Linked DNA regions of Tribolium castaneum. The protein of the gene in region 1 interacts with the protein of each later gene in a pairwise test. Links are inferred from orthologs where the notes say so. Each region holds a gene or a part of one and is shown on either strand. Other genes may lie near its edges.

Region 1 (3,778 bases):
GAACCAGAGCCCAATCTCCGAGACGAATAAAAACGTTCTAAAACAAACGTCTTGTTTTTATTCACATTTGTAATAGTACAACCTGTGCATTGGCGTGATTGTGACCCCGGGGGGCGCTTGAGTCCCATCAAGCAGTGTCGAGGTCTCAGTGGGGCAAATCGTTTTCAGTTGCTCCGACCTGAGGATCAGTTCTTTCTGGCGTTGTTTGGCTTGCAGGTAACGGAGAAACTCGAAAGCGAAAGACATGGAGGCCACGCTGAGACACATACCGACAAGGCCCGCGATTGAGTGTGACGACAGCCCCCGGAAGAGGTAGTCGGTAAGTTTGTAGTCCCACCAAAACGACATATGCATGGCGAAACCCGCGTTAGCACATTTTATCAACGGTTTTAAAGAGAAAAATTGAGGTTATGTTCACCACATCAAAATTCAACGATAAGCTTATCAACGCTTATCACTTGAAATTGTTAGTTATGTTATTTGTAGGTAAATGAGAAAAACACGCAATTTACAGTAAGGATTTATTCATTTACAATTTTAATTTTTTCGCGCTCTTTTTATTGGTAGTAGGGGCCGCTTTTCTCTTAATTTGCGAAACCTGGACTTGTTCTTGCAACTGATTGAAAAACTCCTTGGACGACTTTATCCTCTTTCCCTTGTCCTCCATCTGCAACCAAGGAAATAAAATAAAAGCCCTTAACCCAATCAAAACCCACCAAATTAACATTTTTTGCTTTCTTGACTGGTTCCTTCTTATTTTTGGCGTGAATTTTTTGCTTCAATTTCTTTTTTCTCCGTTCCCTTTTTTTATCAGTCGTTGTCCTTTCTTTCACTCCGACGAGATCACCTTTTGGTTTCTTTTGTATTTCTTCAGGTGCCAACAATGTGGCATCACTTACCGCAGTTGGCACCACTTCTTCCACACTAATCGCCGGTAAATTACTGATAATTTTCAAATCGGGAACTGCAGGCTTTGGCGTAAAGTGGAAATTGCTCAAAGCGTCCAATTTCGTGAACAATTTCCTCATCAAAGAGTTAATTTCCTTGTGGAGCTCTGGTTCTTCTTTCTCCCTATCTTCGGGTTCTTGCGCTTGAAGAAACTCCTTCTCGTAGATTTGTGCCAAAGACTCTTTGCTTTTTTCCTGGTCCAAGACGATTTTTTTCTTATAGTCTAACAAATTTTCCACCGGCTTTGCCTTACGTTCCACACTATCAAACACTTTGTCTTTGATTCTTCTTTTTATGATATCCTCCAACTGCATTGTGGTTTGTTCGGTCATTACAGGGGGCGGCCTTGTCGTCATATCAAACTCCACGACCTCCTCAAGGAGCGAATTTTGGGGCCGTTTCTCGGCCGTTATTTCACCCTTTAATTGCCAAGTCTTGTCCTGAATTGCTTCCTCTTCAATTTCTTCGATTTTCTTAGCCAGACGCTTTTGGCGCAATTCGAAAGTCGACGGCTTTTCTTCATTTTGGACGAAGAAGTCTTTGTATTTCGCCGTCTTTGCGTGATCTTCCGAGTCATCGGAATCAGCCTCAAATAAATCAACACTTGCCTCAGATTCAGAATCGTTGCCGGAATCAACACCTTCCTCTTTCTTCTCCTCTTCGCGAAGAAAACGCTCCATTTCGTCCAGTTTGAAGAAATCATCGTCGACGATTGACCGTTTTACGGGTTTGCTCGTTTCGGTCGTCTCGACTTCATCATCAGAGCTCTCCACGTCGTTTAAATCGTTTGATTCATCACCACTGGTGTCAGAATGCTCCGAATTTTCCTCAACTTCACTTCCATCATCGTTTTCTTCAACTTCACTTCCGTCATCGCTAATTCCACTCTTGTCTAGATTTTTAAATAAAAGTCGGCTTTTACCAGCGATTAGTCTGCTAACACAAGTCACACTTTTGGTGGTTAAATTCTCGTTTTGTAACTCGATTTGTTGCCAAATTTGCTCCAAGTCGAAATTTTTTACATTTAATTGTGGCAAAGCGTCCGTTCTGGTGATTTCCTCCGCTTTCGCGTAATCGTAACATTTTTTTAAGCTAGTTTTGATTTTCTCACAAAGAGGGTCACTAATCCTGCAAAAAATTTACACAACTGTTACACAAATTGATAAAATAACTCACTGGAGGAAATTTGTAGGTTTGTGCGTTATCTCCTTAAAATCTGAGAGGCACGTATTGTAAAAATCCGTAGTTTGTACCATTTTTTCCGCATTACAAATTTACAAACACATGTTTTTTAAGGTTATGGTGTGCAACAGAACTACTCGTGTGACCTTCGGTGAGAGTAGTTTATAGTCGAAGTTAAATTTTATGGAAAAATAATTTGCAAGCGTTTGAAATCCTTTTGAAGGCTGTGATCATTTGGCGTGAGCTAACTGATTTAATTAATTTATTATTTGTAATAATTAGCGGTAGTCTTTCCCGAGGGGTGTTTGTCCACCAAGGGCGGTTCCAGGTGGGGGGAACGGGGGTCATGGTCTCGCCCAAACATCAATTTAATTTTTTTTATTGGTAATATAAAAGCGTATCAAACAAACGTTTTTAATGATTCATCAAACGAATTTATAAATAAAATAATGTAAAAACACTTTTAGTACCGGTTTATAGAAGCGTCATTAATTTAATCTACAATTAAATGCGTGATTAACTGGTCACGTGACCACATTCAAACAATTGGACTGGCCCATTCGTGTTGTTAACTTTTAACAACGATTTAAATTTTAACAAAGCATTCAAAAAGTCTTTAGATCAACTCTTGCTGTGCAATTTATATTGACAGATTATGTCTTTTTTTTATTTGATATATTATAGTGATAGATTAGTGACATATAAAAATGCAGAAATTGAATGTATACTTAAGTTTTAATTTAAATGATTGAGAAATGGTGCCAGCTGCAAGCGCAGCAGTTGTCTGGTCGACTGTAATTTCCACAGTCCCACCCCAATTTTTAGTGCACCTTCACCGACTGTCAGTGCATACGAACTACGCTCCATAACCTAACCAATGTCTTGAAATAAAACATTAAAAAATGCGGTTTTAACCCGAATTGTGTACGTTCTTAATGAACTGTGAGATGGGGGACATCGATTTGCACCCCCTTGGCTCCGAAAGATTCCGCAGTTCTCGAAGCCACCCTTTCACAACATCCACCTTTTTCAGCTCAAATTCCAAGAGACGTAGAGTTTTGGAACCGTACAAGTGCATCGACGGCCTCCTCGAACCGTACAAATGCCTCTCGTGTCGTACCTTAACCCCCTTTTTGGCCCAACTGAAGACACATTCCTTGACACAAATCCCCATATATCGACAAAAAAATGAGACAGTGTGCTACGTTTGTGAAAGTTGCAACTTCAAAACTTACTCCCGACTGATTCTCTTGAACCACATTTACTCAAGTCGGTGTAAAGTCACCGATAAAAACTCAGTGTTGATGTTAATGAAACTGGTCGATAAGTCGGGAGAGACGACGATAAAACTCTACTGCTCCGAGGGAATCCCCCGGACGCTGCACCACGTCCAGCGGCCCGCGCGCCAGCCCCCCGGGGTCCCCTCGTTAATCCCGTGCCATTTATGCGAGTTCAAAACGAAAGACAGAAATTACCTCAAAACGCACGTTTTGCGGAGGCATACGCCCCCGGAGGCCATCACGTGGCACCAGTGCGCCATGTGTCTCTACGTGGCGAAATTCAAGGGCGACTTGAACCGTCACATTATACATAAACACACCCCCACGGTCAAAAAAGAAGTGGTTCGGTGCAAGTTTTGCAGGTCGAG
Region 2 (3,717 bases), on another chromosome or scaffold:
TCTGCAGCGAGAAGTTAGTACATTTAATTAATTATTTTTATGTGAGTCTTTTTATAGAGGCTGCCACTCAATGCAAACACAAGAAGTATGGTGTGTTTAAAATTGGCGAACGTAAGCCATACCCTAACAAGACATGTGCAGAGATAATTTGCAAGTCTACCGGAAAATTATCTAGTCTACAGTACGAAAATTTGAAGTCTTAAATTGTCGTAATTTATTTTATTTCAGGTGCAGTCGCCACCTGAAGGGTAAAAATGGCTGTAAAATAGTTGCGGGAGATAGGAAAAAACCTTTTCCGAATTGTTGCCCCCAGATTTCCTGCCCAGTCAAAGATACAAATAAGGGTTAACGTAGCGGAGATTTAAATAAATCGGAGATCCAGCTTTTTTCGGAAATAAATACATTGTTAGTACTTACAATTCTATTCGGTAATAAAAACAGCATAATACGGATTTTGTTGGATTTGTGATGTTTTTTATCAAAATTAATCATTGTTGAATGAAACTGCGTAATAATTCTTAGTAATGTCACAACCGACAAATACAAAATTGCTCTAAAAATCATAAACAAGCAAAACTAATAAAACAAAAAAGCATATATAAAATCGTGATCGCTCCTGATTTGTAGCAAGGAAATAAAATATTTTATTTCTCTGCAATTTTTAAGCAGAATAAAATAATAACACGTATTTCAAGTCACGTCGCAATTTTTTCTCGTTTATTACTAATTGTTCGGGTGTTTATCACTGCAACTAATAATTACTAATAAATGAAACAATGATAAAATACCCACTATTCTTTCCTCCCAAACCAAGCATGACCATGAAGTGCTTTTTAATAATATTAAATTTGTGTATTTTACAAATTCATTGCGGCGTAGGGCCAGGATTGAGATCTACTCCGCCCTTAAAAGATCAAAGTACGTTGCAAATTTCTTAGTTTGTTAATTAAATTCATAAATATTCTAGAAACTGGATGTTTTGACGAAACATTGGGGCATCTAGAGTCCCGTAAAAAGCTACCGGTTCCAGGCAAATGTGCAATGGCTCACTGCCAACCCGATGGGTCTATATTTGTTGATGGAAGGTTAAATTCCTAAAGATTTACATTTAATTTCAATTATTTTTATTCGGTTTTAGGTGTGCTTTGCGCCTAATGAGGGCTCCAAACTGTTCCAAAGACCTCCCGGTTGATCTAACAAAACCGTACCCCCATTGTTGTCCCGTCAAATGTATAATAAAGGAAAATCCGTGACGATTGCTTCTTGCCTGAGGTGACGACAATGGGTACTTCCCCCAAGGACTGTTCGAAGAAAATAACACACAAATGTTTTACTTAACTGTCTTAGATTTGTATGCTCAGTGTACCAATAAACAATTTTATTACTCAATAACTTTATTTTTTCACCCTCTTTATATCCTTCAATTTTTTTAATTTTTGTAGGAGATTAAGCGAAAACACATTAGAATGGTCAGGAGATGTTCTACTCTACAATTGTAATATATGCAAGTCAGAGTAACAGCTTATTAATGTTTTTATAATGATTTACCCTTATTTTGATAATTTTCCTGGTGTGAACTTGGCTGTAGAAAACGAGAATGGTGGGGAAATGGTGCGCACAGCGATTGTCTGGTCGACTGTAATGTTCATGGTGCCACCGACATCCAAGCGTGACAATTCTTTCCAAACACAGGAATAACATTTCGTGTTAGCAGTTTTCAATTATTTTGGGCTCCAGACAATTAAATAAGTGACGAAAAAATGATAGTTTAACGCGTTAGCGCTTTGTGATACGCAATGGAAAATTTTCAAGCCAAGAAGCCAAAATCGGAAGGTTTGTTTACTCATTTTAGTTTACATAATAAGTTCCCGCAAATCTATAATTACTCTCTAGATTAGAGTCATTGCGTGCGTTTCAAAGACAGACTTTTTGCGCCCAATTATTAATAAACAAACAATTTTCCGTTCGTTTTCCTCGCGTTGGCAGCAGCGATTGTTTGCTGTCACCTGTCAAGTGCACGTGTTCATGAGGTTATAAACTTAGAAAATGTTACGCCGCCAAGCTCGCTTACGACGCGAGTACCTCTACCGGAAAACCGTCGAAGACAAGCAAAAATCCATCCAAGACAAGAAGGACCGCATCAAGCGCAGTTTAGAGGAGAACATCCCCATCCATGGGGACCTCCAGAAGAAGGCCCTGCACTACTCCAAGAAGCTCGAGTGGGAGGACGCGGGGCCCGCGGCCGCCGTCCAGCTCGGCGGCGAGAGCGGCGGGGCCCTAGCCAGCTCCATCGACGACGAGTACAGATACGCGGGGGTCGAGGACCCCAAAATTGTCATCACGACGAGTCGGGACCCCAGCTCGAGACTCAAAATGTTCGTCAAGGAACTGCGCTTGATTTTCCCCAACGCCCAGCGGATGAATCGGGGCAACTACGAGATGAAGCAGCTGATTCATGCGTGCAGGGCCAATGACGTGACCGATTTCATCGTAGTGCATGAGCACAGGGGGGTGCCGGACAGTTTAGTCGTTTGCCATCTGCCCTACGGCCCCACCGCCTATTTTACGATGTCCGATGTTGTCATGAGGCATGACATCCCCGATTTGGGGACCATGTCCGAGCAATACCCCCATCTGATTTTCCATAATTTTAAAACGAAACTTGGGGAGCGTGTCACGAACATTTTGAAGTACTTGTTTCCAGTGCCCAAGGAGGACTCCAAACGGATAATCACCTTCGCCAACCACGACGATTATATTAGCTTTAGGCACCACAATTATAAAACAGTCGATAAGCAGGTAAGTCACCCCGGAAAATTAAATTTTCTATACAACTATTTGAAAAAATCCGCCGGTTTTGTCCTTAGTATCGATTAATTGAAAAAAAAAACATTTTCAGATCGAATTGTCTGAAGTGGGGCCCCGATTCCAGCTGCGCCTCTATGAGATCAAGTTAGGGACTTTAGACAATGCGGACGCTGCCGATACAGAGTGGGCTTTAAGGCCCTACATGAACACAACGGTGAAACGGAGATTTTTAAGTGACGAAGACGGTTGGCTTCAAGAGGACACAATGATCTCATAACTTTTATTTACTTTTTTAATAAATTATCTGACGACGATGTGTTTTATTTTTTTATTTTTCTTCCTTATTGTTTTGTTTGGACAATGTGTTAATGGAAACAATAAATTTAGAAGTAACAGGTGTTTCGAGGAGCGGCAGAGTGCGCAAGAAGTCGTCAAAGTTGATGGACTTCGAATCGCCGGACGACATTGATAGGTCCTTTAACAAAAGGCAGGGAATTGGGCGCAAAGCGGACTTTGAAGTGCAACCACCTCGGAAAATGGCGCGCCCCGAAGATGTAATTTTCACTTCTCTATCAATAAATACTCAAACACAATTTGAAGGTCTTCATCAAGTCTGAACACAGTTTTGAGAATTACGACGAAGCGAGCGAGTCCGACTACGAAAGCGAGTATGAACTCCCGGCCAATACAGAATCGAGCATTGATTCTGTAGACACAGACAGCGACTTTGACGAACAGGAAACAGGTGGCTTCAAACGACTTGATACGGACACTTCCAAGAAACGGCTGATTATCAAGGACGGCAGAATCGTCAAAACCGACAAACACCCAAGTAAGATATAGTATTTTGATTCCAGGGGCCCTGATTACGCTTTTAGGGGGCGGCAAAGGTGGGTCTAAAGCCACAGG

Evidence for each region.
Region 2: the proteins of U3 small nucleolar ribonucleoprotein protein MPP10 (region 1) and U3 small nucleolar ribonucleoprotein protein IMP4 interact in a two-hybrid assay, tested with the Drosophila melanogaster proteins (2 studies listed by BioGRID). The link is inferred for Tribolium castaneum from reciprocal best matches to the Drosophila melanogaster genes CG13097 and CG11920.

The regions. Positions count from the first base shown.
Region 1 is NC_087399.1:8,512,999-8,516,776, reverse strand, and holds U3 small nucleolar ribonucleoprotein protein MPP10, read right to left. Parts: upstream 2,284-3,778; 5' UTR 2,205-2,283; coding exon 2,125-2,204; intron 2,077-2,124; coding exon 717-2,076; intron 668-716; coding exon 530-667; 3' UTR 508-529; downstream 1-507. Other genes in the region: protein SLC31A2, read right to left, coding at 1-37, 83-354; zinc finger protein 142, read left to right, coding at 3,078-3,778.
Region 2 is NC_087395.1:22,014,963-22,018,679, forward strand, and holds U3 small nucleolar ribonucleoprotein protein IMP4, read left to right. Parts: upstream 1-1,611; 5' UTR 1,612-1,796; coding exon of another isoform or gene 1,797-1,833; intron 1,834-1,893; 5' UTR 1,894-2,046; coding exon 2,047-2,799; intron 2,800-2,899; coding exon 2,900-3,085; 3' UTR 3,086-3,122; downstream 3,123-3,717.